Mytilus edulis: one gene and its partner. The protein of the gene in region 2 binds, or shares a complex with, the protein of the main gene of each other region. Links are inferred from orthologs where the notes say so. Each region holds a gene or a part of one and is shown on either strand. Other genes may lie near its edges. The genes, in order: transmembrane protein 186-like; evolutionarily conserved signaling intermediate in Toll pathway, mitochondrial-like.

Region 1 (16,395 bases), about 1.7 Mb from region 2:
TCTTACAGTCAGTTTTATTGAAGTCTGGAGCTGGCATGTCAGTTAACTGCTAGTAGTCTGTTGTTATTTATGTATTATTGTCATTTTGTTTATTTTCTAGACTATGGTTACATGTACATCTTCTGACATCAGACTCAGACTTCTCTTGAACTGAATTTTAATGTGCGTATTGTTATGAGTTTACTTTTCTACATTGGCTAGAGGTATAGGGGGAGGGTTGAGATCTCACAAACATGTTTAACCCTGCCGCATTTTAGCGCCTGTCCCAAGTCAGGAGCCTCTGGCCTTTGTTAGTCTTGTATTATTTTAATTTTGGTTTCTTGTGTACAATTTGAAAATTAGTATGGCGTTCATTATCACTGAACTAGTATATATTTGTTTGGGGCCAGCTGAAGGACGCCTCCGGATGCGGGAATTTCTCGCTACATTGAAGACTTGTTGGTGACCTTCTGCTGTTGTTTTTTTTTCTTTGGTCAGGTTGTTGTCTCTGTGACACATTCCCCATTTTCATTCTCAATTTTAACATTTTGATAAAATAAAATAATACACTAACCCTTTGCAATGTTGCAGTTCAACTTTTAATCTAGGGTTCTGGAAAACATTTAAAATATCTCTTGCAGTCATATGCAGGGTATAGGGCTCATAGGTTTGACTCAATAAACATGATAAAGATTTGCTAAGTTTACTGACATGTAGAATCCCAATATCCCTCTTAGTATAAATAGCCACATGTGTGCTCAAATAACCATTTAGATTAGTCTCAAAATTGATATATCTAACTCAATTGAGTAGATCTAGCTAAAATTTTACTCATAAATGTAAGTGATCATATTTGCTCAATTTAAGATCTCATGGGTGCTCGTAGTGAAATTTAACTGATTGTATTTGCTCAAGTACTCATGTATGCGTGAACAAATGTCTAATTCAAATACCTAAAATTTTACATGGATATGGTTACACAACTTAATAATTTTGGCAATACATGTACATGTGACATGTTAGTCCAAATAATTATGACGTCTTAAAAGGCTATTATATTTTTTTTCTTTGACGCCTTACTTCCGACGTCGAAGTAAGGCGTAAAAGAAAAAAATTTAATAGCCTTTCAAGACGTCATAATTATTTGGACTCGAAGTAAGGCGTCAAAGAAAAAAAATATAATAGCCTTTCAAGACGTTTATTTGGACTAGTGACATGTATGGTCAAAATTATACAATACTACAAGGAAGACTTAAAAAACAGAACAGTTAATCTATATTTATATATACCTCTAAAACTGTAAGGATTCTCCAAATATATCTAGTGGCTAGTAAATTCAGACATTTTACTTTCACTTTCAGTGTAAAATAAGACTCTTGCTTTTATGAGCAAGAGTCATAATTGACACTCAAAAATAGTCCATCTCTATTGGAAGAATAAGAAGTCGAAGATTCTCTGAATATTACATAAAATACAATTATTTCAACCAATAATTATATATAAGAATTACTTACAAATTCATTAACAAAATCCGCTTTTTTACTAGTCAAGGGACATAATTATTCAAATATACTAATGCAAGTAACTAAGTCGGAGAAGGAGCGAAAATCCGAAACAGCACCTTAATTAAAAAAACAGAAAATAGTTCCACGTGCACGTGCGTGTCCAAGTGATCAATCTACTTGTTATTTACGAAGAAAAGAAATTTAACTTCAAAAATTGTTGAGATCTTTGAAAAAAAAACTGATTCCATTAAAGAATACAATGAAAGTAACCTTATCTTTAAAGGCCTTGCAGGTTCTTGTTACTCCTACCCAATCTGCTGGTATTTTCAAAATGGCTGCGGGGGACGCGGCCTGACAAATTATTTTAATATTGTGTCAGATTAAATATTCCTGATTTTGCTTCGTTAATATTATAGACAAATATGCTACAAACGGTTTAAAGATGTTACTCTAAATCAAATAATTGAAATATAATTACCTTTCTGTGTGTAATTGCGTGAATTGATTTTCTCTCGTTTATCTTCTCGCTCTTGCTCACTTGATGAATATGCATAGGTGGTATTCATCCGCGACAATAATATTTCGGTATATCATTGATATTGAAGATCGTTTGATTGATATACGAATATTTCTAACGACAAAACATTTTCATGTTATTAATTTGCATTTAAAAAAATCTGAGTATCCATTGAAAACATGAATATAAAAGAAGAGACAAGGAATTTTATTCTGCACTATAATGTTCGCGGGTTCATAATGTCGGTTATTATCCCAACACTAATTATATACGCATCTCTTTGATCTTTGAAGATCTTTGAAAAGTAGGCGATGGCAATACACCCGAGGCCCCTCAGGGGCCTCTGATGTAAAAATGGTCAAAGACATTTAGACACTATGTATATAAATTACTGTCAATTATTAAAACATTACAAAATCCATGTACCAGGTGTCATTCCAGTTAGTGTGAGAAACTGAAGACTATCTTTGGTAAATACGGTTAAATGTTTATTAAAGTTTTCAGTATTTCTCCTTTATCAGCATATAAGCAATTCTTCCAACATACCAAGTTATCTTCTTAATTACACCTTATGTAAGAATCCTGGGTTTTGACGGGTTGATAGCCATTGTATTTTTCACCAATTTACTGTAATGATCTTTAATCAAATGAATATCGTTCATTTTTTAACGCCGCCGGGGTATGACATTACGGCTCGTGAAATTTTACATTCTCTCGACTGGTTAATTAACATGATACATCTGTTCAATATTATAGCAATACTATTAACGTTAAATTAAGTTCAGTTTTTCATTCTAATTTTTAGATATTATTAGGACCATGTTTCGTGATGACTGGTAATAGTACATTTATTGAGTTAATTAAACAAAGTACATGACTATATGAGTGGATGTTGCCCTTGAGAACCCTGATGATATATGACCATTTATATCCATGACACTTACATGTTCCTAGATTTTTATAAAGGACATTGACTTAAATATTAAAAAAAGCAATTTATAAATCTAGTATCTCAACCTAAATAAATTAATATTTTAAGTAGGTGTGTAACCTTACCAAATATGTAAGGTTACAGATATGTACAGCAAGAATGAAATGTCTGTGAAAGTGGGCAATGTAATGACACCATCTTTCAGTTCACTAGTTGGGGTAAGACAAGGGGATGTTCGATCTGCCTCCAAAATTTGAGCCAAGTCCAGATGCTGTTGATATCAATGGGCGTAGAATTGATTGTCTTATGTACGCTGATGACATTATTGTATTATCAAACACAAAAAAAGGTCTTCAAAACCGACTTGATATATTGCATACTTATTGTATTGACTGGTGTCTAGATGTAAACTTGTCCAAAACAAAAGTTTTAATTTTTTTAAAACAAGCCTGGAAAATTTGTAAAGGAATCATTTTATTTAGATAAAGAGGCTATAGAATGTGTTAATAAATGTAAATATTAAGGGATATTCTTTACTTCTAGTGGTCTTTTTCAACAGGGGAAAGAAGAGCTATTCAAAAAATCCTTAAAGGCAAAATTTAAATCACAAAAATCCATGTCAGCTTGTAATCCAAGTATTGATACTGCAATTCATTTATATGATCACACAATAAAACCAATTTTATTATATTGTAGTATAATTTGGGGTTCATTTAAAATTAACTCTGCTGCTTGCAAGAAAAAAGTGATTATCTATTTGAATTAATCTACATAAATGATTATTTGGAAAAATCACATTTCAGATATTTAAAGTATATTCTTGGTGTAAATAAGAAAGCCTCAAATTTAGCAGTGTTATCAGAGGTTGCAAGATTTCCTCTTTATTTTTCTGTCATTATATCCATGGTAAAATATGTACACAGGCTTAACAAGTTGGACAAAGGGTTACTTTATGATGCTTATGTTTGTAATAAAATTTTAGATGCAGAAAACATTAATTGTTGGTATTCATCTATGAAATATGTACTTCAATCACTTGATATACAAAATTTAGATACAAAGCTCAATAAATTAATTAAATTTGTAAAATGTAAACTTTGTAATAGTTTTAAAACATTTTGGTTGGTCAAAAGATCTGAAACCTTATCACAAGGTAATAGTAAATTAGAGAATTATTTCAACCTCAAGACTGACTTTGTAAAGGAGGCTTTTTTATCAATTAAAGATTTTAGTATAAGAAGAGCTATATGTAAAATGAGAATAAGTGCTCATGATCTGAAAATTGAGAAAGATAGATATAGTAAAAAATACATAGAGATAACTCAACGTCTATTTCATCACTGCTTATCACATGGATCAAATTCTATTGAAGATGAGACCCATTTTACAGTAAATTGTCCATTATATGATGAACAGAGGAAATTATTATTTGATAAAGTTATCACTTTTTGTACTAATTTTAAAGAACTACCTAATGATAAGAAATATTTCTGGCTGTTCACAAATGAGCATTTACCAACTCTCATGTGCCTAGGAAATTACATTATTAAAGGTTTAGAAATAAGATCCAGATGTAAACAAAATATATGAAATAATTTAGTATTTTATTGTTATAAGATTTAATATAATAGTTATATAAAACACATGTTGTGTTAGGCTCTGATCCTGTCCATAACGTTACAGTATGTATTAGTTTTCTGTTTTGCTTTTTCCAATCATATTGTGTTGTAAAATGATGCTCTTTACGGGTTCTTGATTAGATTAATAAAATTCTTATCTTAAACAAAAACAAAAAAAAATTCTTATCTTATTGACCGCAAAATAAAAAAAATCTTTCAAATGATAAAAAAAAAAAAGATATTAAAGATGCATTCTGTCTTGGTGTAAAACATTGTAAAGTCTAGCCTAAAACCACATAAGAGCAGCCACCAGACAATATATGTTACACCAGACGCGCGCTTCGTCTATACACAAGAATCATCAGTGGCGCTATAATTGAAACAATTGGTTGGCCAAATCAACTATGAAGTTTAAAAGCAACAAAAAGCGAAAACCGTTCGAATAATTAGATATCTTATTAACAGTTAGTTTACAGAAAATGAACACATCAATGATATTCCACAAAGACACAAAAGTACTGACTACGGGGCTGGTTATCTCCAAAAGCATGCCATCGACCATAACTTGGACGGTTGTTTTTTTTCTGTTTTTGTTTTCGCCCGAGTTAACTCTTAAAGTCTTACTATATCATATTTTAGCATGGTTTTATATTTCAATAGTACATTTAGTAGGAAAACTGTAAACAGAAATTCCTGTTTAATTTGATATATTCGATGTGTTGCAACTTTTAAAAAGATATGTTTATTTCAATCGGAAAGTACTTGCGGTCACTGAACTCAAACTTAAACCCCTTTCAAGACATAATTAAAACTAAAACAAGACATTTGTTCCCCAGTCTAAAATATAAATCATCCCCATTTACAGACCTTAATTTGTTGTTCTTAATGTGACACTATAAATTATCAAAATGGTTCAGGTTCTATCTAAGCAACAAATAAAAAGCAGTATACATGTCTGTTCCTTCTGATCCTGTGAACTGTCGCATCACTGGCGGATGATGCAACATAACTATTTTTTTTCAATTTCGAATTTATCTTTTTAATTTGTCTTCATAAACGTCATCGTTCAGGTGGATCAATGTCATAGATTTATAAACAATTTGCGTATCGACTGTAAAAAGCATGTTTATTTGTTCACTGCAAATCTCTCAGTATGTATTGAGAGTCACGCCATGGTCATTGAGTAGCAGTAGCAATGACCGTTTACGGTGAGTTCTTGTTCCATAAATGTTGCCATGTTTCATTTAATAACAATGATCAACAATATCCGCGCGAATTTTTTTTTTTGTCATATGACAATCGAAAAATGTTAACCAAATTTAGAATAAGCAATCTTGTCTTTTAATAGAAACTGGCCGCGATATGCAAAAAAATAATAATACCAACAAACGAAAGAAAATGTAAAATAATATGTAATGTATTAAATGACGTATTCCATATTTTTATACTTGTAAACTGATTTAATAAAAATAAAAGAGAAATCTTTCTTAAATATTATACCGAAAAATATGTTAATTTTAACTTAACCAGAGACATATAATGCATTACAAAACTTAACTGATAAACTCGTGATTATGTAGGATTATATAGTGTCCCCCATAAAATTATGTCCCATGAACAAAATTTCACAGACATGATCTATGAAATTTGGTCCAGGACATAATTTTATTATAAAATATTGTCCACCTCTATGTAAAAGTGTCCCTTGGCAAGAGATTCTATTGTGACCTTCGTTGGACATTTTTTCATAGTAAAATCATGTCCATATTGCATAAAAGTCCTGTCTTATACCAAAAAATTTATTTAACAAAAAATAATAAGACTAAATTGACATTTGTATTTAAATAAGCAATAGGAATCTATGAATTGTTTTAACATCTTTGAATTATCCTTTTTAACAAAATCAAAAATGTCAGGAATAATATTCATAAATGCTTGATTGCAATTATGATTGAATATCAAGTTTTAATGTTTGCTCTTGTGTTTTTGTTTTTTGTCAACATTGATATAATACATTTCATTGTTTTTAATGTGAAACTGCTTTGCCTTCCTTTTAAATGATCTATCATTATTTTCAAATTCTGGAGGGTATTGACCATCACACACATAATTATACAGCTGTTTATATTTATCACTTTCCATTTTTGTTCACATCTGTGTTGTCTTTATTTAAATTTCAACTATTATTTTAAAACTAATTGATTAAAACATTTCAATGATTTCTAAATTATTTCCCTTCAATAGGGACAGAAAAAAATAGCTACACTATGAAATATTGTCCTTTGTGACATATTTTTATATAACATCCATGAAATTATGTGCAAGTACTAGGGACAATTTTTCACTAAGGGAGACACTATTTTATGGTTTACAAATGTGATATTTTGTCCCTTGAACAAAATTTCACGGCTGAACTGTGAAATAATGTTCTAGAGGACACAATTTCATGGGACACTTTTTTGGCTTACAATTATACTAAATCCATCAAAACCAAATGATATAAACACAGTTTTTTTTTAAAGCGTCATCATGAGAACTGAGCATGGAGACCAATAACTGGTTTTAACATGCATATTATATTTGTTGAGTTTTTCTTATGTTTGTTTTGTCTATGTATATGCTATAACTTATTTACTAAAATTGTTTTTTGTTTGTTTAGCAAATAATGTATATATATAATTATTAATAAATTTATCAATCGTTCATTTTGTGTGTAATCAGTATTGTTTGCTTTTATAAATTTTGATTTTGTTTCTATTGTGTATGTTTGATATGTTTGTATATCTATGAGGTGCCGTTTTACTATTTATTACTTAGTTTCTGATATCAAAAAATGATTTTCTGATTTAATATGTTTATTGTGTTAATACATGTTGGTCACACACTAAAATGTATACGACAATAAAATATTTGGTTTGATTTGCCGGTATTGTATTACCCAATTATTTAATTCCCATTGTTTTCTTTATACTTTTGCACCCAATTATTCTCTGTGACTACTTTATTCAATAATGTTTCCTTATTTTTTATTTTATGGCCAATATTCTCAATTCTGTAGGAACCAATCGAACGAATGTGAAGTAATATTATCTTGTATTGAATGAACGAAGGGAATTAACTCTTACCTGTTTCAAATAAATTTTCTTTTAAATCGTAGATTGTCTCCCATCAATTACCAAAGATGAACGTGTGGAGTTCTGGCACCTTTGCTAGGTATGATATATGTTATTTATCGTGAAAACTTTTCATTAAGTATCGAAAATCTAATAACATATCTAAACAAACTAGGCCTAATCACTAACACATTGTTCCTACCTCAATGAGCCGTGTGTAGAAATTCACAAAGATAAACCCTATTAGCCTATGCTACAGATATAAACACCGTGCTTGCATCGGAATATGACCGACAATTTCCCGTGTATTATATTTCCACAAATAAATTGTCCGTTTTCCAACCAAAAGAGTAACGTGTAAATAATATAACTTAACAACAAAACAATTATAATCATATTGAGATTGAGATGAGACCAAGTTTTTGTAGAAGGGGAAGGGTGGGGGTAGGGGAGGGGACAGAATTGAATAAAAATGAAAATAAATATTTGCAACACAAAATAGAGGAAACCTTTGTGTACAAAAGTTCACATAAAAAAATAACATGCATATCAACTGTTACAACATGAAAATTGTAACCGGAGGGGTTTTAACGTTGCGTATTTTCTGTGTCAACTTTAACATATTTTACCCCAGACCGTGTATTTACAATAGGAGGTCAATTAACATGTTAACAACACCTCGATTTTAGCAACAACAGTTAACAACATATTAAAAAATGCTGATATTAACAGTTAACACATAGGGTTGAAATTAAAACAGTCATCAGTTTAAATTTATCTCAGATAAAAGTTAACAACACCTTGAAAAAGGCCATGACAGGTTAACATAAAAAGGTATAAAAAGGTATTGCCCCTTTCATACCGGGTATATGTAACATTTTAAGAAGCAAGATCAGAGTTGCCTTTAATATATTGATTCTTATTCCTGCATATATACAAAACCCTACATTTATACAAAATGCAAGGAAGACCTATAATTTCCAAGAGAAAACGAAACAGAACTGAGAATGGAAACAGGGAATGTGTTAAAGAGAAAACCAACAGACCAAAGAGCAGAAGACAGATCAAGGCTATCTATTGGTCTTTAACACAGGCAAGAAAAACCTGCACCTGGAGTAGTGGTTCACCTGGCTCCTAAAAAATAAGGTGTAACAGATCAAGGCTATCTATTGGTCTTTAACACAGCCAAGAAAACCTGCACCTGGAGAAGTGCTTCAGCTGGCTCCTAAACAATAAGGTGTACTAGTTCAGCTAAAATGGACATCACACTAAAAAAACTTTGAATTATATAAATGAACCAAAAATTTAAAAAAGTTACCAAGTGGTTTATACATTATTTTACAGCTTATTTCGATCATTTAATTCAATATCATTTAAAACAATTATATTTTTTTTTACAGGAGTGCGGTCCTCACGAAACAATGGAGAAATGCTGTGATCAAAAGATGTATGAGTTCACCTTGTTTAAAAAGAAACAGTGGAAAAGTTTTGTTTACAAACAAATTAAACAGATTGACTTACTTCCCTAGTCGCTGTTATCCATCTTCAGAATACCCAGAGACATTTGATCCTTTCAAGAAAAAAAAGCCAGAGTTTGATCCAAATATTGCAAAGAGGAAATATAAAACCATTTATTTCTTTAAACCAATTAAAGTGGCAAAAATTTTGTCAATGTTAAAGATATACCAGACTGGATTTACATTTGCCTTGGTTCCATACTCATTATTTATGTTTCATTCTCAACTAGCTGATTTTAATGTTATTGCTGCATGTGTTGGACTTTCAATATCTGCCACAGTTTCTTTGTATTATATCAGTATGTATATACAAAACATCACAGGTATTATTGGTGTAAATGAGGATATGACAAAAGTAATGATTTCACATTTGAATTTCTGGGGCAAACGTGAGGATCAAATTTTCAAACGAGAGGAGATTGTTCCTTTCTCAGACAGTGGAGAAGATGTGAAAAGTGACATTTATAAATTAATAACATTTTTTTCAAATGATCAGAAGTTTTATCTTTTTGTGAATAGAGGCAAAGTTGTAGATAGAGAAAAGTTTGAAGAAATTTTTGGAAACTTGATATAAATAAATGTATCACTTTTATGTTCAATATTTTAGTGACAAATAATTCAGAATAAAAGATGACATAATTTTAAGTTTATATTTAGATATAGAGGTAGAAAGGTGAAGATGTATCAATGATCTGTGATTATATCATGTACATGATTTAAGGACTTGTTGATATCGGAAGAAAGATAAATGTCTTTTAAAATATTTAAGAGAATGTCTTATAAGCATGTATTTTTCAGCATTCTGATTAAAGATTATTATTCAATGATAAAAAAAAAGAGAAGGACTTAAACCTAATTTTATTCTTTTTATGAATTAAAAAAATCTTTAGAACAATTAGCTTTTATAAGTAATCTGACAAAAAAAATGAGTTATTAAATATGACTGATGATAAGGCCATGTAGGTCATTGCCATCATTTTGCGTCTGTTGTTTATTTCTGTCGTCTCCATACTTTTCAAAGAACTTTTTCTCTGAAACTACAGAACCACTTTTAACAAAACTTGGGATGAGTGATCTGTCGCGATCCTTAGGGTATGTATCTTGTATAAAATTTGTGTTTTATTCTGGTCAATAAACAAGCATGTACACCAGACTTAAAAAAGAACAAGAGTTAAAATGTATTCATGGTCTTTTATCTTGAAAACTGTCACAACTAAAAGGTAGAGAAAATATGAAAAATCAAAATTGTTCAGAATGCCAAGATCTTCCTCCTCACAATTTTCACCAAAATTATTTGTGTGGGAGTTATTTCCCTTAAATGACAGTTTTTAGTTAATTTTCATGTTTTAGCCTATTATTTTAAAACTTTATAAAAAAAAAAGAAAATGTGGTGTGAATGCCAATGTGACAACTCTCCACAAAGAGACCAAATAACACAGAAACTAATAACTATAGGTCATTGTACAGCCTTCAACAATGAGCAAATCCAATATTGCATAGTCAGCTATAAGAGGCCCCAAAATGAATATTTGTTGGACTTGGGTAAAAACTGATAAGGTCAAAAATTATAAGCAATACAAAAAGTGCCAAATAATAGAAACCATTGGATGACTTCTTAACATATTTTGGACTATTTTTTGTGTCCGTCATGACTTTTTCAAAGAACTTCTCTGCTGAACATGCTGGCTGAAAGAACTGAACTGAACCAATTCCAACAAAATTAGGGGGGGGGGGGGGGGATGATCCTTAGATATATAATTTGTGGTATCTGCCTGTCTGTCAACAAACATCTATTTTTAACAATCAATTAAACATAGAACATTAGGATAAAATCCATTTTCTTGAATCTTCAAACCATAAGAGAACAAGCAAATATAAAAGGACAAAATTTATCAGAGATCAACCTACATCATGTACTTACTGTTTCTACCAAAAATATCATCTGACAACTTAATTAGATGAGTAGAAACTATAACATGTAAAGGCAAAAGTGATCATCAAAACAAGATCTTCAAAAGTGTCAATATTATTTATATGATTAGATCACTCATCAGCAAGGAGTTATTGCCTTTAAATAACGATTGTTGACAGATTTAAGTGTTTTTGCCTAATATCTTTAAAATTATAATGGATAAATGGAAACTGTAAGCAACAAAAAAAGGTATTGTGATTATTTTTTTCACATATAACAGTAAAAATTTGGTTCAATTTGTAGTAATTATTTCTGCATTGGAACAAGTTTCAGTTATAAAAATATTGCATCCATTGAAACCTGAGACATCTGTGCAAAATTACACATATCTTTCAATTTGAAAATGTACAGCAAAAAAGAAGCAGCCAATCGAACATTACCATCAAGGAAAGGAAAGTTAACCAGAAGAGAAAAAAAGTAGAACAGTTTGTCATAAAATTTGTAATGATCATTGCCATGTGAAATGCCAACATCATGGTCTAAAAAGGACAGTGGTCACTCAGTATTGAATTAAGTAAGAGCATGGAAATGAAATGAAAATGCATTTCCATAGAAAGAGTGAGTTGAGGTGGACAACCTAAACATCAATGAAACATTTGCCACTGGACATAAAGTAAACAACCTGTCAATTAATCTAGCAATCACATTTAAAATATCTGGAATGACTACAGAGAAAATGTCTTCTAGATATCTTCATGTTTTATATATCTAGCAATGCGTGCATTATTAGTCTTTTGGGTAAAGATTGCATGGAAATGAAAGGCACTGACTTGATATCTAAATCTAAAAAGTTGATCATTCACTGACTTTGAGATAGAAAAAAATATAGTGCATTGATTATAACAATCTATACATCCAATCCAAGAACATTTCCAGATATTCAAGTCACAAACTGATGTTATACTCGTCAAGAAAATATTGCAAGGCACACGAATCTAATAGCTGTACATGTTCTTAAATATCAAGGATGTGAATTTTAACCAGATTTTCGAAGTAAAATTAATTTGTTGATTTGGGGATGTACGGCAGGCAGTGGCTGCCAAACAGTGTCCTTTCATTTCATTTCATAAAAACCCTAAGAAGATTTTTGTCATGCCCCCTCTATGAAAGTAGAGGGACATTATGTTTTCTGGTCTGTGTGTCTGTGTGTTTGTCCGTCCGTCTGTCCCGCTTCAGGTTAAAGTTTTTGGTCCAGGTAGTTTTTGATGAAGTTGAAGTCCAATCAATTTGAAACTTAGTACATTTGTTCCCTTTGATATGATTTTTCAATTTTATTGCCAAATTAGATTTTTGACTCCACTGAACATAGAAAATGATAGTGCGAGTTTCAGGTTAAAGTTTTTGGTCAAGGTAGTTTTTGATGAAAGTCCAATCCACTTAAAACTTAGTACACATGTTCCCTATGATATAATCTTTCAAATTTGAATATCAAATTAGATTTTTTTACCCCAATTTCACGGTCCACTAAACATAGACATTGATAGTGCGAGACTGGAGCATCCGTCTACTATGGACAAATTCTTGTTTAAATTTAAATATGTTGTTTCTTGTGACAAAATAAAGGTCAAGTTCAATTTTAGCTTTTCTCATTGATAAGTTATAGCCCTTTCCCAAGAATTAAACTTTTGATAAATTAATCAATATCTGTACAAAAGGAAATTACTCAATTTTTAAAAGATTTTTTAGACAAATAGTATTAGTTAATGATAAAGGACATTTTGGATTTTTGTTTTCTTTTCTTTGGTAAATTGTTTGAAGACTTTTGTGGTAGGTTTGTTTGTTATTCTGTATAAAATAGTTTATATGAATGCTTTATATAGAACTATAATAATATATTTAGATAGGATATATTTCATTACATTACATTGTGTAGATCTTTATTAGTTTGTGACAAATGAAAGAAAAAGAATTTGGCACTTTTAATTATATATGACTATAAATTGAAAAAAGATATACACTGACTGTGTTACATCATATCTTATAATCTTATTTTAGAGAAGTTTTTCCAGTCTTCAGTTAGAATACTGTGTTAAACCACAATTATGTTCAAAGGGAAATAACTCAAACTTATTCCATGAACCAGTAATGACATGATCAAAATTTCTATTTTTTAAAGTCAAGTCAGTGTGTTATGAAGGTAAATGAAACAATTGTTATTTGGTATTTTATTTTTGTTGTGTGTGATCTTTATTGGTGTTCTCCATTAATATTCAATACACGAAAATAAATCGTATCCGTAATGGTATTCCGTATTCGGTTAAAAATTAGTATATTTTCATTCTGGTACCCGAACTGGTTTCAGCAAACCATAAACAAAACATCTACACGTGCAAAGATTGCTGATATTACCCTGTGACTGTGTAAAGGTACTTATAATTATAGTATAACTAATCGCCGTATTTGAATATCAAAAATAAGACAACGCGTGACCGAACGACGCATGGATTAAACGAGTGCGCAGCACGAGTTTAATCCATAGCGGCGTTCGGTCACAAGTTGTCTTATTTTTGATATTCAAATACGGCGATTAGTTATTCTTTTTATTACATTGGCAAATGGCTTTTTTTTATGAAATTAATGTAGAAAATGTAAGGAACTATATCTTTTTCCTACGCATTGACAATTTGTTTTGATCCGACGTTATCGACGTCTTGACAACGCCTATTGTTGTATGACGTCAGAGAGTGAAATAACCACGTTTATTTCACATGTGAAATTATCGGTTTTTATCTAACTGGGAAATCAATGTAATTCATTGCAACCAATGTAATAAATATTGTTACTATACCTGATTAGTATTTTATGTAAGCATAAGGAAAAGTGGTATATTGCCATTGATGCAACTGTCTATCAAGAATTAAAGGTAAAGGATTTCACCATAGTGGCTTTAATTTATGACGGTCCACAGATTATCATTTTACCACTTTTACCCATGTGAAAATTATAGAAGCACTTGTTTCCGTCCATGGAAAGGTCCAGAGGCGGATTTAGGGGGGGCAGGGGGCCCGGGCCCTCTTTTTTCAGAAATATTTTGGTTGGTTATATAGGGAATCAATGAAGCGTGACGGAATCGGGCCCCCTCTTATAAAAATGAATCCGGGTCTGTTCGCGCCCAATCACGTTCGCACCCTTCCACATTCGCCCCCATTCACTTTCGCACCCCACATGTTCGCACCCAAATTTTGCGAAAAGTTCGTTCGTACCCAATTTTACCAATTTTTTGGAGGTGTATTGGTATAAATATATATGCCATTGTTTCTAAATAATTCGAGATACTGACAAGTTTTTTTTGTGTCATGACAAGTTTATAAAAAAAAGTCCTTGTTTTTAAGTCAGATTATGTTATTCTGACAACAACTATTTCATTTGTGTGTTGAATAATTCTTAATCGTGTTTTGGTTAGTGTATTGAAATAATTTGTTTTTCACTGTTTCTAGTCAATTAAGTGCGAATCTGCCAACATGTTGAACAACTGGTATGCATGGTAAGTGTATTGCTATAATTAATATTTATTTTATTAGTATTTACATCAAAGCAATTTAAAACAACAATCATGATTTATAAACAACAGTAAACAATAACACCAAGTTAGGCTGTTTATAAATACCAATTAGCAATAATCATACATAATCAACATTTAATAATTAATCATCAGATTGATAAAAAAAAAAAATCTATTCAATAAATTCTCAAATTTTATTCAAAAAGAATACAATTATTTGTTATATTCATATGAATAATTTCTAACAATTTAACTTAAATTTTATTAAAAATTGGGCGCGAACATGTAGGGTGCGAACGGACGTGGGGGGCGAAAATGTGAGGTGCGAACGTGTAGGGTGCGAAACTATATTGGGCGCGAACGGACCTGATACCTATAAAAATTTCTAGATCCGCAACTGAGGTCGACTATTTCTATCCATGTGTAATCTAATAGTCAACCTTATATATTCTTTGGTTATCTTAATCTTACAAAATTGCTCTTGCGACCACCAGAAGCGTTGAGTTTTGGTGTATCAGATCAATGTAGAATGTAGATGTAGATACAGCACAGCATATTCGCAACACACTTACATCATACATGTTTTTTTCCTGAATATGCATTTAATTTGACACTGGTGAGTGGTCATGAAATGGAAATCAATTCAGTGATTGATTATATCATGTATATGCAACAAACTCTTAAGGTTCATCATAAGGAATTGAAAAATTTGGCCGTGTTTACACCTCCAAAATTAATATGAGTACAGACAAACTGGTACATCCAGGAAAGTTTTAATGCATGGCAGGAACTAGATATATAAAAGTTATATGAAGTCTACGTTTCAGAAAATTAAAAACTTACCTGGATTTTGATGTTCATTTTTTTCCAGTCTGCAGAAGATAGCAAAATAAACAAACACCCGAGTTTCATTTGATACGGTCCACTCAGTTACACAGTTTAAACCTGTTAAATAACCTATTGTTTACAGGTGTCTATTGTCCATCTATTGTCCATTTAAATCAATACTACTCACAACATTGATTATATGAGGGGAGCTTCTCAATCGTTTTCACTACTTAGTTAATTTTTGCACCTTCTGCAGGATTGAAAAAAAATGGATAGCAAAATCTAGAAAAGTTTATAATTTTCTGAAACATAAAATGCATTTAAAATTTATATATCTAGTTCCTGCCATCCCTTAAAACTGTTGCAGGTTGTCGTAATTTCTGCTTCTTGCTATGTTTTGATATAGTTATAAAGCCAGCAAATACGAATATCTCATAAAACTAGTAAATGCACGGGTAATAAATAAATACGGACGTCAAATCTGTTGTCTGTTCTCTCTCATCATTGGTAGCGTGAATAACTAGTCAATAGTAAAAATGATACTTTTATTAAACAGCCGAAATATTTCCATACAAGTACAATATTCCAACCATAATATATATAATTTACATACGGGCGGAGCTACTAAAATAATAGTCTTTTACTTGTATTTTCGTACGGACCAACCGGGATTAACTTGACAATATAAATAAATATGCAAGGCATACAGCTATCTGTGCTGCTTCTTACCTCTAAATTATAACCCTTACTTGTAATATAAAATGCGAGGCATACAGCTAATGCGCTGCTTCTTACCTCTAGGAACCCCCGGGATGAGCCTTGCTGCAAGCCAAAAGTAAACACAGCAAAGACTAACGAACGTGACGTTGCACTGGTATTTATTTCAAATTACCGGAAGTAAATCTTCTGAGC
Region 2 (16,465 bases):
TTATACCATATACAGTTTTGGTTCTGGATTGACCAGGTCTTGGTTCTAGATTTACATGTTTGGTTCTGGATTAATCAGTTATATTTAAACTATTAACAGATTTGGTTCTGGATTGACAAGGTCTTGGTTCTCGATTTACATGGTTGGTTCTAGATTAACTCGTTCTATTTATACCATACACAGTTTTGGTTCTGGATTGCCAAGGTCTTGGTTCTAGATTTACATGTTTGGTTCTGGATTAACACGTTATATTCAAACCATAAACAGTCTTGGTTCTGGATTGACAAGGTTTTGGTTCTAGATTTACATGTTTGGTTCTGGATTAACACGTTACATTTATACCATATACTGACTTGGTTCTGGATTGACAAGGTCTTGGTTCTAGATTTACATGTTTGGTTCTGGATTAACACGGTATATTTATACCACATACTGACTTTGTTCTGGATTGACAAGGTCTTGGTTGTCGATTTACATGTTTTGTTCTGGATTAACACGTTACATTCATACCATATACTGACTTGGTTCTGGATTGGCAAGGGTTCTAGATTTACATGTTTGGTTCTGGATTAACACGTTATATTTATACTATATACTGACTTGGTTCTGGATTGACAAGGTCTTGGTTCTAGATTTACATGTTTGGTTCTGGTTTAATAAGTTATATTTATACCATATTCAGTTTGGGTTCCGAATTGACCAGATCTTGGTTCTAGATTTACATGTTTGATTCTGGATTAACACGTTATATTTCTACCATATACAGTCTTGGTTCTGGATTGACAAGGTCTTGGTTCTAGATTTACATGGTTGGTTCTAAATTAACACGTTCTATTTATACCATATACTGACTTGCTTCTGGATTGACCAGATCTTGGTTCTAGATTTACATGCTTTGTTCTGGATTAACACGTTACATTTATACCATAAACTGACTTGGTTCTTGATTGACAAGGTCTTGGTTCTAGATTTACATGTTTGATTTTGGATTAACACGTTATATTTCTACCATATACAGTCTTGGTTCTGGATTGACAAGGTCTTGGTTATAGATTTACATGGTTGGTTCTAGATTTACACGTTCTATTTATACCATATACAGTCTTGGTTCTGGATTGACCAGATCTTGGTTCTAGATTTACATGTTTTGTTCTGGATTAACACGATATATTTAAACTATTAACAGTTTTGTTTCTGGATTGACCAGGTCTTGGTTCTCGATTTACATGGTTGGTTCTAGATTAACACGTTCTATTTATACCATATACAGTTTTGGTTCTGGATTGACAAGGTCTTGGTTCTAGATTTACATGTTTTGTTCTAGATTAACACGTTATATTTATACCATACTAGAACACACCCGTGATATCACGGGTCCGTGACTGAATTAAAGTATATATATTACTATGCGCAAGCCTTATTTTAGTATTAGTATTGTCATCTGATAAAGCCATGCCGATTATAAGATACACGGTTTTTCTCTGCTTTCAAGTCTTTCTGTTTGAACCCGTCGCACTGAAACAATAATATTAATTATTTGGAAAACAAAAGGTCCTGGAATGGAGTATTTTTTAATCAACAGCATTGTCCTATATAAGTTATAAATAAAGTTGAATTCTTTGCTTCGCTGTTTTACGTCATGCCCACTAACAAATTGAAAACTGTACCTATACGCCTTATTTTTAGTCCAGATTTTTTGTATTCGTATTGTTATCTTAGAAAGTCTTACTGATTAAAATACTATAATAGGTAACAATTTGACAATTTAGTAGTGTCAACCCTGTGGTTATGACCCGTGTATATAGCATATTAATCCTGAATACAACGTTTGGTGGTGCGCCTGTCAGATGCGGAACGTACAGATAAGGTAATAGGTAACAGGTGAATATACTATTGGTATCGGTAGCGGACTCGACCCGGAACTTCTTAATTATTGGCAATATTAATTACGTGGAAAACAAAAGGGCCTGGAGTGGTGTAATTTTTAATCTACACCTTTGTACTATATTAGTTATATATAAAGTTGAATTCTGTGATTCGTCGTTTTTACGTGATGACGGCTGACAAATTGGACCTCGTAATTTTAGTATTATAGATACTGACTTGGTTCTGGATTGACCAGGTCTTGGTTCTATATTTACATGTTTGGTTTTGGATAAACATGTTATATATATATATATGGATACATCTGTTGTAGGGTTGTCACTGACTCAGACGTACTTATGAATATAATTATTTTCTGTGACTGTATCTTACATTAATTTGTAGGATCCTTTACTATAGATAATTTAGCTGATCTGTAACAATCACATCTTCATGCCTTATATATCATGTACTGTAGTACGCCGCTAGATTAAAACTGACGTGGAAAGGTAACACATGGCCAGCGAAAGCTCTTTTTTTGAGAGCCCAGGTGGTCGTGTGGTCTAGCGGGACGGCTGCAGTGCAGGCGATTTGGTGTCACGATATCACAGTAGCATGGGTTCGAATCCCGGCGAGGGAAGAACCAAAAATTTGCGAAAGCAAATTTACAGATCTAACATTGTTGGGTTGATGTTTAGACGAGTTGTATATATATATATATATATATATATGATTCCATATACAGACTTGATTCATATATACACGTAATATACTAGTATATATAGACATAGGTTTATCGTGATTCAGTCTTTTTCGAAGGGAAAGAAGATTTTGAAAATTCAGAGGGGGGAAATAAAGTGTAAGTTTAACAATGAATTACATTGATTTACGTTACAATAACATTAGGGTCTGGATGGGGCATTCATGAAGAAATATGGCAAATAAATATAACACGTATAATGAATAGAGAAAATGAACTGAAAATAAAATAATTATGTTATACGTTACTGATTAAAGAAACGAGTTATGTACAGAATAAAGAATTCCTCCAATTACAGAAAATTTGAATTGTAAAATTATTTTAATGGGAATTTTACAAAATAAGCGTTATTCTTACAGATAAAGAAAAATGCCCTAAACATTTAAAGAATACAGAAATTTAAGAACCCTATCCATACCATTTTACTTGGCTTCGTCCTTATTTTAATTAAGGGGACGGGCATTTGGTATTCTTGGTTTTTGTGGAATCAGGGGCGTAGCTAGGCAATTTTGATGTGTACGCAATGCCGTAGAAGGAAGTCATACGGCGGTGGGTCTTGGGCTGCTCAAGGCCCCCAGAAGCTCTGGGGGTAAATTGGGCAAAATCCTGCATTCTCACAACTTCCGAGGACTTAAAATGACCTCACAGAAATCTTACTTTTAGGAGAAACAAGTCAACTTTGGAAATAAATAATCAGAGAAAAATAAAGAAACCCGTACTGTTGGCTTAACAATTTGTTTTTTTCCTTATGTGTAGTGTTTTAAAATGGCTTGATAAGGTATATTTTATTTGTTACCTAATCATGCTGAACCCACTTTACATTAGAAAAACTAATTTCTAAGCCAACACTGTGCAACTTAAATGGTATTTTTTTTTTATTGAGAAAATACATAAATAAAAATTCGAATCACATATATCTTTATGTTTTATTTTATGAGTGAACAAGCAGTGTTTTTCAGCTTTTTTATTTCTCTCAAAGTTGATTCTGAAAAATCAATGCCCATTTCCTTTCTTTTTTTCTACTAAAGATGTCCAAAACCGTGTCTGCTTTGATTTTTTTTTCGGTATATGTTCAAAAGACCGAGTCCATATAAACGATTCGTTTTCATTGTATTTTTCAAGTAGGTCTCCACTCTTCTCATCGAGACCGGCATACGACGGACGGATCAACAGAGAGACGGACGGACAGACGGATGCACAGACAAGAAAGCACAATGCCCATCTATTATCGTGGGTAGGGCATAACAAAATCAAATCAATTTTATTTCTTCAACAATATTAAATAAAATTCTAAAAATTTGCTAGTAAGTAAAGGTTAAAAATGGTAGTAAAGGGTGGGGTTTGGATGGTGGATCAGTAATTTTTTTTTATTCAAATTAGGATTACGGAAAACAAAAACTTTAAAACTGAAAGCATGGAAAATACGCACTTTTATTTAAATTTGGGAACATGTAACTTGTTGAACGAAAAAGGCACCCGTCTTTCACAAAAATTAAAAAAAGTGAAAACACGTTGAACGTCAAATGAAAAAAAAAACGATGAGTACAGTTGCACGAAAACTTTACCCTTTACCACCCCCGTTAAACTTAAGTTGGACTAGACTGTTTTTAAACTTATACATACCTCACAGGAAATTCATAAGAATGAATTGATGTCCATGGTCTCTTAAGAATGTCATATTTTATTTCATCAGTTATTTTGGAATCTTCAGAAAAGATGCCAGGGTAAGGAGGCATAGAAGACGTAACAATTGTGTTTTGACACCCGGAGGACTCAGTCATTTTAAATTGTTTGCATCAGCAACATAATTACGATGTTGGTTTCGTAAATGAAAAGGGAAGACTAGTTTTCGGAACGGAATATAGCTACAAACATCATTAACATATTTGTATATTTTTTTTCATTAACTTCATTACTTTAGTTTTATTCTAACTGTATTTACCATATTTTTATTTTTGCTGAATGTTTGATGTGTACGCAACTGCGTTTTTGCGTACGGGTTGCTACGCGCCTGCATATACATTGCATACATTTATAGTATAAAAAGTCAAGTATGATAATAATGTTTAATACAACTTGATAAAATGTGATGAAAAAAAAAATAAACATGATAACATGATCAGTTTTTAATATTTTTGATACAGGTAGGTTGATTTCAATAAATGATCTGTTATTTTGTATTTGAAAGAATTAACATTTGTAATATTTCTTAACGGTATTGGCAAATTATTCCACAAGAATGGTCCAGAATACATAAAAGATTTTTTTGAACAATTCTGTTTTTGGTTTAGGGAGTATGAGGTTTCCTTGAACAGCATTTCTCAAGGGGTATGGATTTCTGTCTGAAACATAATGAAACTTGTTAGTAAGATATGATGGGGCATCATTTTTAATGCACTTAAATGTCATCACTAACTTATGATATTTTATTCTCTGTTCAACTGTCATCCAGTTTAAATGTTTGAATAAGGGTGCAGAAGGAGCGAATGGGTCTAGATTTAGAAATTTTTTAATCTTTAATAGTAGATATAGTCTAGATGATATTTTTGAGCAGATCACATCAATTTGGTTTGTCCATGTGAGGGAAGGGTCAATTTTAATGCCTAAAAGACTTTCACATGTGGAAGATTGTATAACTTGATTGTTAATAGTTAAACAACTCTCATTGTAATGTGGCATTGCTCTTTGCTTCTTTCCAATAATCATATATTTTGTTTTATTTTTATTGATGAACATATTGTTATCATTGCACCATTCCTCTACACCATGTAAATCTTCTTGTACCTTTGACTGTAGAGTTTGATAACAATTACCAGAAAGATGTAAAGTTGAATCATCGGCATATAAATCAGTGCAACAATTTTGCATATAAATAGGAAGGTCGTTTATGTATAATATAAACAGAAGGGGCCTAATATGGAGCCTTGGGGGACACCATACTTGATATAAAGTTTTTCAGAATGAGCATTACCAATTTGTACTTGTTGAGTTCTTTCATTCAAATATGATTTAAAAAAAGAAACAGCAGTATTATCAAATCCATAAATTTCAAGTTTTTTACAGAGCATATCATGATCTACTACATCAAAAGCTTTCTTAAAATCCAACAGGACTGCTAAGTTGATATCACCATCATTCATATCCTGTATCCATTTATCTATGATATTGATAAGGGCAGTTTGGCAAGAGTGTTCTTGTCGAAACCCAGACTGTGCTGGGTGTAAAAGATCTAATCTTTTTAGGTAGTCATACAAATGTTTTGAAACATGCTTTTCTAAAAGTTTTGATAAAACAGGAAGTACAGAAATTGGTCTATAATTTGTTGCCATGAATTTTTCACCAGCTTTAAAAACTGGGGTTACTCTTGCATTCTTTAGAACACTGGGTAATGTACTTGTATCTATTATTCTGTTAAAAATGTAAGTTAAAGATGACGTTATGAAAGGAGCACTCAATTTTAAAAATTTTGGTTCTATGTTATCAAATCCGGTGGATTTATTAATGTCAAGTTTGATCATCTCATTAAATAGACCATTTATTGTGACTGGTGCAATTGAAAATTTTACTTGTTCTGACTTATTAAATTTCTTTTGTACAAATTGATTTAATTTTGCATAATCATGAGTTTTGCTCATACATCTGTCAGTCCTCAGGTTTTCAACACAAGATGTAAAAAACTTATTAAAACATTACAAATGTCACTGACATTATTAGTTTTAACACCATCTTCATTTAAAAGTTCATATGGCTTTTCTTGTTGGGATGGGTTAAGACTTTGAATACATTTCCACAAATCTTTAGAAGCTTTTGAATCTTTTACCATCTTTGAACAAAATTTTCTTTTTGATTCATCGATTATGTGTTTTGTCCTGTTTCGCCAAAATTTGAACTCGGACCACATTCCTAATTTATGGTATTTCTCTCTAATTTTTCCATTATTGAACCATTCAGGTTGTCTGTCTAGGTTTCTGACACAGAATGAATGTAGTCTAAGAACTTAAAACATTTAATTTTAAATTGGACTTTTACCTATTGTGGTCCTTTATCAAAAATCTTAATACGTGGTTTGAGGCACTTGTCGCAGAAAAAAAAATCCTATATATGTAGACTTAGGGGTCGCCCATTTGACATTCTGGGGGGGGGGGGGGGGGCAGGAGGATTTGTTTTTGATCGGTTATTTATTTTTGTAATCTAAGAGGACAAATTATTCATTTTCTGCACTATTGAAGCAAGATTTTTCATTTCCATTAAAGCAAGGGACTCATGATTATTCATTTTCACAACTGTATTTATGATATTCGAAAACATACAATTTTTAAATGATTTGTTTATTATAAACAACATATTTGTGTTTCCTTTAAATTTTTATTTTGACATTTTTTTTGCATGCTGTGTTGATGTGCACGCAACTGCGTGTTGGCGTATAGGGAGCTACGCGCCTGGGAATTGGCTATTTATTTACCACTGTTGGTAGGTATATGCATTTTTTTAAACGGATTTCTTCCCCTAACTCTCCCCCGAAAATAAAATAGTCGTCCACTAAACAGAATTTAATAAAAAGTCGCTTTCGTTTTGACGTTTTTGTTATGTAGACATTACGTAGATAATCATATTATTTTTTTCTCATTTAAAGATTTTAATCATTTACATGCCTACATAAATAAACTACGTCAAACTTATCTTTCTCTTTAAATTCCAACCTCTGTTTTACTCATATGCCAAAAAAATTCTGGTCGATAAAAGTAATTTTCACATGGGAGAAAATGCTTGTGTAATTGTAATCATATTTTGATATTTTAGAAATACCCATCATAAATGTAGTATTGTAGATCGTTGTACCTGATATCTATGAAAAAACACATATTACATTCTAATATTGAATAACTTATGAATATTTTAATATGTATGAAACTGGAACTAGTAAATAAATGTATTAATTAGTCCCAGATAAAAAATAAATACACATATATTTTTTACTTTACTGGCACAGTGAAGCGTTCATCAACACTAAGCTTTCAATAATTTCTTTTTCTTACAATTTTATCTTCAAAATTGAGGTCAACAAGCGTTTGTAATTAATTACGATAGAACTGGAATCAAATTCATGAGGGTCTGGATTGAAGGGGAGGGGCTTTTTTTATGTCTTTATTCTTTGATTTTGAGTTCATTTTTTTCTAATATTTATTATTTATTTTGCATGCCCATTATTCTTTATTCTTTGTAAGTGTGCACCATACACTTGTTTATTAATTTTATTATCATTTTTGCCAATATTCTATATTTTTCATTCATTTTACCCTTTATTCTGCACTTTTTTTTACCATTATTCCCTTTTCTGTAAACCCCATCCAGACTCCTATTCACGCCAAACAGAACCTGAGAACAGAACATAAATTTATGTGCCTTTAACAGAGAAAAATATTTAAATGTTGCCATTTTATTCGTACATTTTATTATTATCAGTTCAACAGTTTAATGATGTCCAATGATAATTGTATACAAATGGTGTTGATTTCAGCTACTTAAAATTTGATAATAAATCCGGTATCGTGACAGTTCACATCATCTTTTGGGTAGATATATATGTCTATTTGTAGGCTATAACGCAGGTGTAAAATATGGTTCTACTTTCACTTCCGGCTCTTAATTGACATAGGTTCTGATTTCACACACGCTGATGGGTACTGTTGAAAATATTTCACCGACTGCTAGCCGGAAAAGGCTCAGTTTTTGTAAATGTGACACAAAGTCCGGAGAGGAACGTGTTAATCCGGAAATTGGTATATAGAGAAGATAAATTTGAATAGAGGACCCAGTAATTATAGGCATAGTCAGACAGTACGTGTGTTTTAGGGTTGCACTAAAGGAAGATTCTTCAAAAATGGTCTGGGTAGATTTATGATACAAGATCCACATCAAAGACCTACCAGATGGAGTATAATCAGATAAATTTGGAAAATTTGTAAAATTCAGCGTAAAAAAACAATGTCAGAAATGGACATTTATCAATTCAATTATATACTGTCAGTCTAGATCACCCTCAGATTTTGGTTGGCTTCATGTTACCAAGACTAGTTCTCTGTGTTGTTATTTGTATACTTTTATATTTAGTAATTTTAATTTTTGCCCTTTGGCTTGACATTTTTATACCGGCAGAGAAAATTCTAAAAAAAACTTGAAAAAATACAAGAGAGTGCATTGAGATTTGTATATGACGACTACTGATCATCCTCTGAAACTCTTCTTGAGACACAAAGGTTCCAACCCTACAAGTAAAACGCATCAGGACAATGGCACTTGAGACTTATAAAAGTTTTAAATAATTTGGCTCACAAAATTTACTCCAAATTAAACACACTAAATATTCTTTTAGATACAGTAATATTTTGGAAATACCACTGGTAAGAACTACTTCATATGGAAAAAAATCTTTTAGTTTTGCTGCTGCTTCTTTATGGAATAGCATACCAGACCATTTCAGGACTGTTAACAGCTTCTCACATTTTTAAAGTCTTGTTCAGACAGTCCTGGAGTGGAACAGAATGTTTTTGCTCTGCCTGTAGATAATTTGTGTTGCTATTTTTATGCTTAACCCTTTTTATGCTGCATTAAGTAATAACAGCTAGCATTGTAACTGAAATTTTGTTTTTACATTTTGTTTGAAAGATTTAAATTTTTTACTTTATAAATCAGTCATAAATATCATAAATTATTTAAAAAATAATTTTTAAACTGCAAATTTTTCAAGATTTAGTGCTTCATATATATGTTTTGGTATTTCGCAAGATACATGTATATGCTATTGCTTAGAGTTAATTTTTGGTGCTGCTTTTTATTATTTATTTTGTATGCTGCATGCCTTGTTTTATTTGTTATTGCATATGTTTTTATATTCCGGGTGAAAAGCTCAATAGAGCTTATGTTTGTACTGTTTGTCAATATGCCGAATCCAAATAAAGTTTTACTTACTTACTTACTTGTATAGTATGCTTTTGTCTTTATTACCGTTTTTTTAGTAGATTAAGTGGGAGGGGCAGATGGGTTCTTAAAATAAACATTGTGGCCTGGTAAGAGCTGGAAAGAAATAACCTCGCTTAAGACAGGAAGAAAAATTAATATTCAATAACATAACATACAGGAAACAATTGGGTACAAAAAATAAAAAGATTTTAGCGCACTTAGCATCTTAAAAGAAATAAGCCTGCGTGGCAACAGGTAACAATGAATAGTAAATCGCAAAAAAATGCTTCAATCGCCCCCTTCCACCAATAAAATAAATCAGAAATAAATCAAAAACAAATCAAAAATAAATCAAAAAGTCGTTTCATAAGTACACCACCTTGTGAAGGAAACACCCTCTTAGACCGTTTTATATAAACCTCTCGTCTCCTAACTAAACACCTAGTGAATGCAACTCCTCTACGACAATTTTACAGAAAGCCATCGTCTCCTAACTACAACACCTTTTGAAGGCAACTCCTCTAAGACCGTTGTATAGAAACCTCTCGTCTCCTAAATTTAACACCTATAATGAATACAACTCATCTACGACAATTTTACAGAAAAACTACAACACCTTTTGAAGGAAACTCCTCTGAGACCGTTTTATAGAATTCTCTCGTTTCTTAATTACAACATAAGTGAAGACCACCGCCCCTACGACCATTTAACAATTCCCCTGGTCTCCTTGTGATGGCAACTCCTCTAAGACCATTTTATAGAAACCTCTTGTCTCCTAACTTCAACACCTAGTGAAGACAACTCCTCAACGGCCATTTTACAGAAACCCCTCGTCTCCTAACTACAACACCTTTTGAAGGCAACTCCTATAATACCATTTCACAGAAATCTCTCGCCTTCTAACTACAACACCTTGTGAAGGCAACTTCTCTGAGACCGTTATACAGAAACTTATCGGTTTCGTAACTACAACACCTTTTAAAGGCCACTACTCTAAGACCATTTTACAGAAATCTCTCATATTTTGTTACCCGACTATTCTAAACCAGTTGTTATATTTCCCCCACTACTTTGACCTCTCTTAATGTGAATATTAGGCAAAGAATCATTGTAGGTACATATCTAGTCGGATTTGTTTCCGAGTCATTGTAAATAAACCAATTTTACAGGCGTTGAGGGACATTGAGTATTTCATGGAGAATTGTGAGAATGCAGCTCTTCTGGGACGATGCATCTGACAGGAAGCCATCATACTTGGTAATGCATGTTATTTGTAGTTGACCATATAATACTGTCATTTTGATCCAACCATTTATATAATTATATCAGAGTTATGGGATTTTTTACCTTTTTTAGTGTTGACTTTTTGTCCTGTGACTTTCTGTTCTACATTCTAATATCGTTATTTCAAACTGAAATCTCTTGAGTATGTCTTTATTTTTCTTAAATATATTAACTATTAAATCATAGGAATCCAGAATAAATAAGGTCCAGAAGAGGTTTTTGTATTTCAAAACTTTGGAGAACTCATTACATTATGACAGTTGTGTAAAGATTAACAAGATTTCTACGCCAGAAAAGAGGAATTGTCCAGGTGCATTATTGTTGATCGATAGTCAAATAAAAATCAAAGTGATGGATATCACTCATGGAAAGATTGGAAGAGTAGTTTGGATAATTTCATATTAAGGTATGGAGGGGACTGAAAGAACATAAATAAAGCACTATTGCTGAAAATTCTTCTAGTAAATGTTACAACTACTCTTATAAGACATAAGCTAAGAACTTTAAAGTGTCAACAAAAATAATCTAAAAATGTTGTTTTGGGGCATTTTGTAAGTTAAAACATAGGTTATATGACATTGAAGATTAAAAGTTGTGCCTTTTGATCAATTCATATTTTTCAGAACGGGGCATTGAAAATGTACTTTTTCAACGTAAACAAATTAAAAAAACTTATTCTAGCGGATTTTTTCTTGATTGCAAAAAGATGTATTCACTTTCTTATAAAAATTCAAATGACTAAAATAAACATAATGATTGATGGGGAATAAACTAATAAAAAATGGTTTGTTATAATCAAAAGTTTTAAAATTTTAAAACTGTTTCAAGCCAATTACTGATATAAAAAAAATAAGTGAACTAACCTAAATTATTGATTAATTGCAGATGAATATTGTAAATTTATCAAGTAAATCATACGCCTTACTTGAATACCTTTTATATATTCATATTTATATTTCATTTTTCTTAAAGATCTTATTAATCCTTAATTAATCATTTATCTTTCAGACACACTTTACAGATTCACCTTTATGTAATGTAGATCAAAAGTAAAAGGCAATAAATAAATCTATCATCCTTATATATCAAACATCTAGTATATACATTAGTGTATTCAATTTTGAGGTCAAATATTTATTGATATTTGTTTATTGGGATGTATATTGAAGCATAGATGTAATAGGGTCGGTATAACTATGTAAGACTTAGGTTGATAAGTAATGTGGTCAATTTGATTGACAGTTTAGGAGGTGGGGCATTGTAATTAAAGGTCCACCTTGTCCCTGAATGGTTGATGATAATGAGTTGTCAATCATCTAGTATTGTATCAATACTCAATATGTTTAAAAATAAAGCCTTTTCATCAAGACACCTTAATGACATACCTTCTTGTATGAACTGCTCCAAAAATATACCCATTTGTTAACAGTTTATATGTATATTATGTGAACATACATGAGAACTATAGGGAACTATATTTCAGTGTGAATACATTTAGTAATAGTAGCTAACCAGTTGTGTTGTTAGAGAGGCCAGTGCCTAAGGAAAGATTTAGAACAAGTTCCAATCTTTCCAACAATGGTACAATTTTGTCCACTACACATGGCAGACAATTCTTTAAAGAGTGAGAGTTCTAGCTCTGTCGAATGATTTCAGAGGAGTTGTGTTCACAAGCTGACACTATTAAAAATACAGTGATTACTTTCAAACTGCAAAGTATGTCAGCTATCCTCACACTAAGTCCTGACTTCTTGCATAAAATTGATTTCTTCAAACCCTTTTCTACTCACAACTGTAGAAATTTTGCTAAAACAAGTGCATCTGAAGACATCAGACAGAAGCAACAATTTCTAACTAAACTATAATTTGTCTTGGTTTTTGGTTACCTGCCAATAGCGCTTACAATGCTTTGATTTCAGTTTATTTTTTGCAGTTCTGACCTTGACCTTTGGCCTCAAATTAAATATGATTATACCCATCTGTATGTCTCCCATCTGAACATGTTTTATTATCAAATTAAATTTGAACACACTCATATAACCAACACCACATTGTCACTGAGAAAACAATAACTGTCCTTTCAAAGTTCAAGGATTCAAAACTCCTACTATAACTACCAGTATTATTATTTTTTTTGTGTGAATATGAAAATTAACATTTTATGACCTTATTAAGTAAAAAAAGTTTCATAAGATTCTGTTATGTTATGTTGTTTTAGAGATATGTGCTAACAAACTATTGAATTTGTATATCATAGTCAAAATTCTAATTCAAAGGGGCATAATTCTTTAGAAAAAGCATTGAATCTCAAATGTGTCATTATGCACACCTACATATAGTATGTACTAATTATCAATAAAGTTTCATACAATTCTGTTATGTGGTTCGAGAGGAGTTGGAATGACAAACTGTTGCAGTTGTATATTTGCCAAAATTCTAAGTTCAAAGGTGGGCATAACCGATAAAACTGATAAAAACAATAGTTGAAATCATAATTTCCTGTCAGTATGGAGATATCTACAAAGTTTCACGAAAGGAGAAGGTTCAATAAGGCACTTAAAGATGAAAATGGACCCCTTTTTCACCTTAAATTTAAATTGTGATTTATTGACCAATATCACAATGAATCATAGGTTATATAGTGACAAGGATAGGAAACAAGCCAAGTACCTGAGTTCAATTCACAAATAGTACTCATGAAAATGTATAACTGTAAAATATAAAGCTTATCTTAATGATTCTTGACTGGGTCATCCATACTTTATCTGATGTACAGAAGTTTTCGTTTGTTTATGTAGTTCATACATATTTCTCGTTTTTATATAGATTAGACCGTTGATTTTCCTGTTTGAATAGTTTTACATTATAATTTTTAGGGCCCTTTATAGCTTGCTGTTCGGTGTGAACCAAGGCTCTGTGTTGAAGTCCGTACCTTGACCTATAATGGTTTACTTTTAAAAGTTGTTACTTGGATGGAGAGTTGTCTCTTACCACGTCTTCCTATATCTATTTATATTATCACCTATGGTCTACCTGGAGACAAAATTTCTCAACCAATAAATTTATTTGTGTTGATGTTTGATATAATTGACTGAGCTTATGGTTTAAGTTATAGTGTGAAGTCTGAGACTGATGGTTCTTGAGTCAATAGATGGGCAACTCTGGAAACTAACAAACTGAAGGGATATGTGGTTTAACCAGAGAGAGGATTTTCAACTGAATAATCCAAATGTTACAAGAGCACTGACAACCAACAAACCCTAATTTTTTTTGTGTTCTTCATATCCATGGAAATCATAAGACAGCTTTGATTAAACTATTAAATATAAAGTAAAATTAAAAGAAGAAACATCAGCAAGTTTTCATTTCAATTTATTACAAATATTTTGGTGTACAAGCTTCTCAGTATCATCATGCTTACACACACAAAATACAATAATTTCCAAAACATACAAACAATGCAATGTTTACAGAACATTTCATCCATATTTATATCAAATGATCAAATGTTCTAGGGTTTATGGAAGGGAAAATTTTTACAAAACAGAGACCAAGCAAATATATTTAATGTCCTGTGAATTTAGTGGTTTTCATGGGTTACAATTTTTGTGGATTGATTAAGTAAAAACTTGTATTTTTGTCAATATTTGACTTTGTAGTTTTGCCAAAGTCTGCTTTAAGTCTATAGAAATTTTGTAATTCATTGAACATTTAAATTAGTGGTTCACCTTTAACTATGAAATCCACAGAAATTGATAAATCATGAATAATAATGAATTAACAGTATTTAAAACACAATAATGTAACGCTGAAACAAACAAGAAGGAAAACAATTCATTTATGTTGTAAATAACATATTTAGTTTAACATACAAATAGTAGTTTAAGTCACAACAAATCCTGTAAAGCACATAGGTTATTTGTGTTGTCTGACCATTCCTTTCTACATAGCACATCAAGGTGAATAGATGGTCAACTGTTCTCCAAGTCTTGTTATGGTCATCAATATTATTGTTGTATATAAACAGGCCAAAATGTAATGTAAACAAAGCACTTCAGTTTTATACATGTATCTGTATGTTTGACAGTTAACAAGTAACAACTCTCAACATAGAATAACAATAGCACTGTCATCACAAACAAGGAAAATATTGTAGAAAAAAACTCTGGAAGAAATACATTCGACTATTCTATTATGTTACCCCAATCCCAGATTGAGATCAGTTCATGTTCCTTTAAACATGTTTGAAATTCATAAAAAGCACTTTAGAAACCTTCAGCAGCCACCAACAGAAATTAAACTATCTACATTTTCTTCTTTTTATGAAATATGTCTAAATAACTTGGCTTTAAAATGCCTAATTTTAGAAAACTTGTGTGTATCAACAAAATAGCCAAACAAACAGACCACTTTAAAAAAAATTATATTACAATATTAACATACTTTTATTTTTTTTCCAGCCACATTCTTTTTTTATTGGGGATTTTAATATTACCCATCATAGAGAACTGAGAATAATACTTTATTTTTCTAAATGTCAATTAATTGCTGTTGAACAATAGGCATAATAACAACTTGGATGTACAAAGCAAAAATAAATCAATAAAAAAACTGATTTTTTTTTCAATTTTTCTAAGATAATTGTTAATTAATTATAAATTATTGGCACCAATCAAATCATCTGTTATTCCTTCAGTACGCTGCACGTTTTAACACTTTTCAAAAGTATCATTCAAAGTAGATTCTAGGTCAATGCTTTTGGGGATATCTTTCTCTCTCTCATCTCAAATTTGTAAACATATTTATATTTGAGGAGAATTAAACTTGCCACTCAATCCAGTAAATTAAGAAACCAAGAAAGAAAATGAAAGAAAACAAAAATAAACATCTGGTTTTCCAGTGAATTGTATAAACACCAATTTAAGTTCTGATTAGTTCAATAAAGCATTTTTAATACAAATACTACAGTATACTACAATGAATGTACAGAATTATTGTTCCATCTGGACTTTTTATCAAATAGAAAGTCCTTGACATAAAAAAACATTCTTTAAATATATTCCGTAAGTAGAACATTTTTATTATGATATCAAAATAAATGTTAAATATTACATTCAAAATATTGTATGCTTCCAGAATTATTTTATAATTGAAACTTCAACCAGGTATAAAATCCTTTAAAACAAGTACTGATTATATCAAGATGATGTTACAAAGTCCCCTTAGATCTCAATAATCTCATGTCAAGGATTTAGTATTTGTTTCAAAAAGACATTGTTGCTAGGTGCTTTTTCAATTAATTTTATTCAGACTTCCAAAAACAGGTTCTCAGAAACTCATAAGCATAATTTTTACTTTTAACAGTCAGTTAAAAAGATTAGGACACTTATGAATCAGGAATATATCAAATTGCCTTCAAACAGCGCCATGTTAATGCTAGATGGACACAAAAGGACATAAAAATTTAACATTTAACCAAAGCAACAAGATAAACAGTCCTATTTCTAAAGGTTGTCACATACAAACTAAAAAGCATCACGACTGATTAAATATGTCAGCATAATATACAAATAAAAATACAATCTTCAAGTTAATGAA

The links.
Region 1: evolutionarily conserved signaling intermediate in Toll pathway, mitochondrial-like (region 2) and transmembrane protein 186-like share a complex: the UniProt entries of both Homo sapiens proteins name them as parts of the mitochondrial complex. The link is inferred for Mytilus edulis from reciprocal best matches to the Homo sapiens genes ECSIT and TMEM186.

The regions. Positions count from the first base shown.
Region 1 is NC_092352.1:9,637,125-9,653,519, reverse strand, and holds transmembrane protein 186-like, read left to right. Parts: upstream 1-7,653; 5' UTR 7,654-7,732; coding exon 7,733-7,764; exon of another isoform or gene 7,765-7,824; intron 7,825-7,866; exon of another isoform or gene 7,867-7,957; intron 7,958-9,064; coding exon 9,065-9,755; 3' UTR 9,756-9,826; downstream 9,827-16,395. UniProt on the Homo sapiens protein: As part of the MCIA complex, required for efficient assembly of the mitochondrial complex I.
Region 2 is NC_092352.1:11,357,601-11,374,065, forward strand, and holds the start of evolutionarily conserved signaling intermediate in Toll pathway, mitochondrial-like, read right to left. Parts: upstream 8,394-16,465; 5' UTR 8,314-8,393; intron 1-8,313.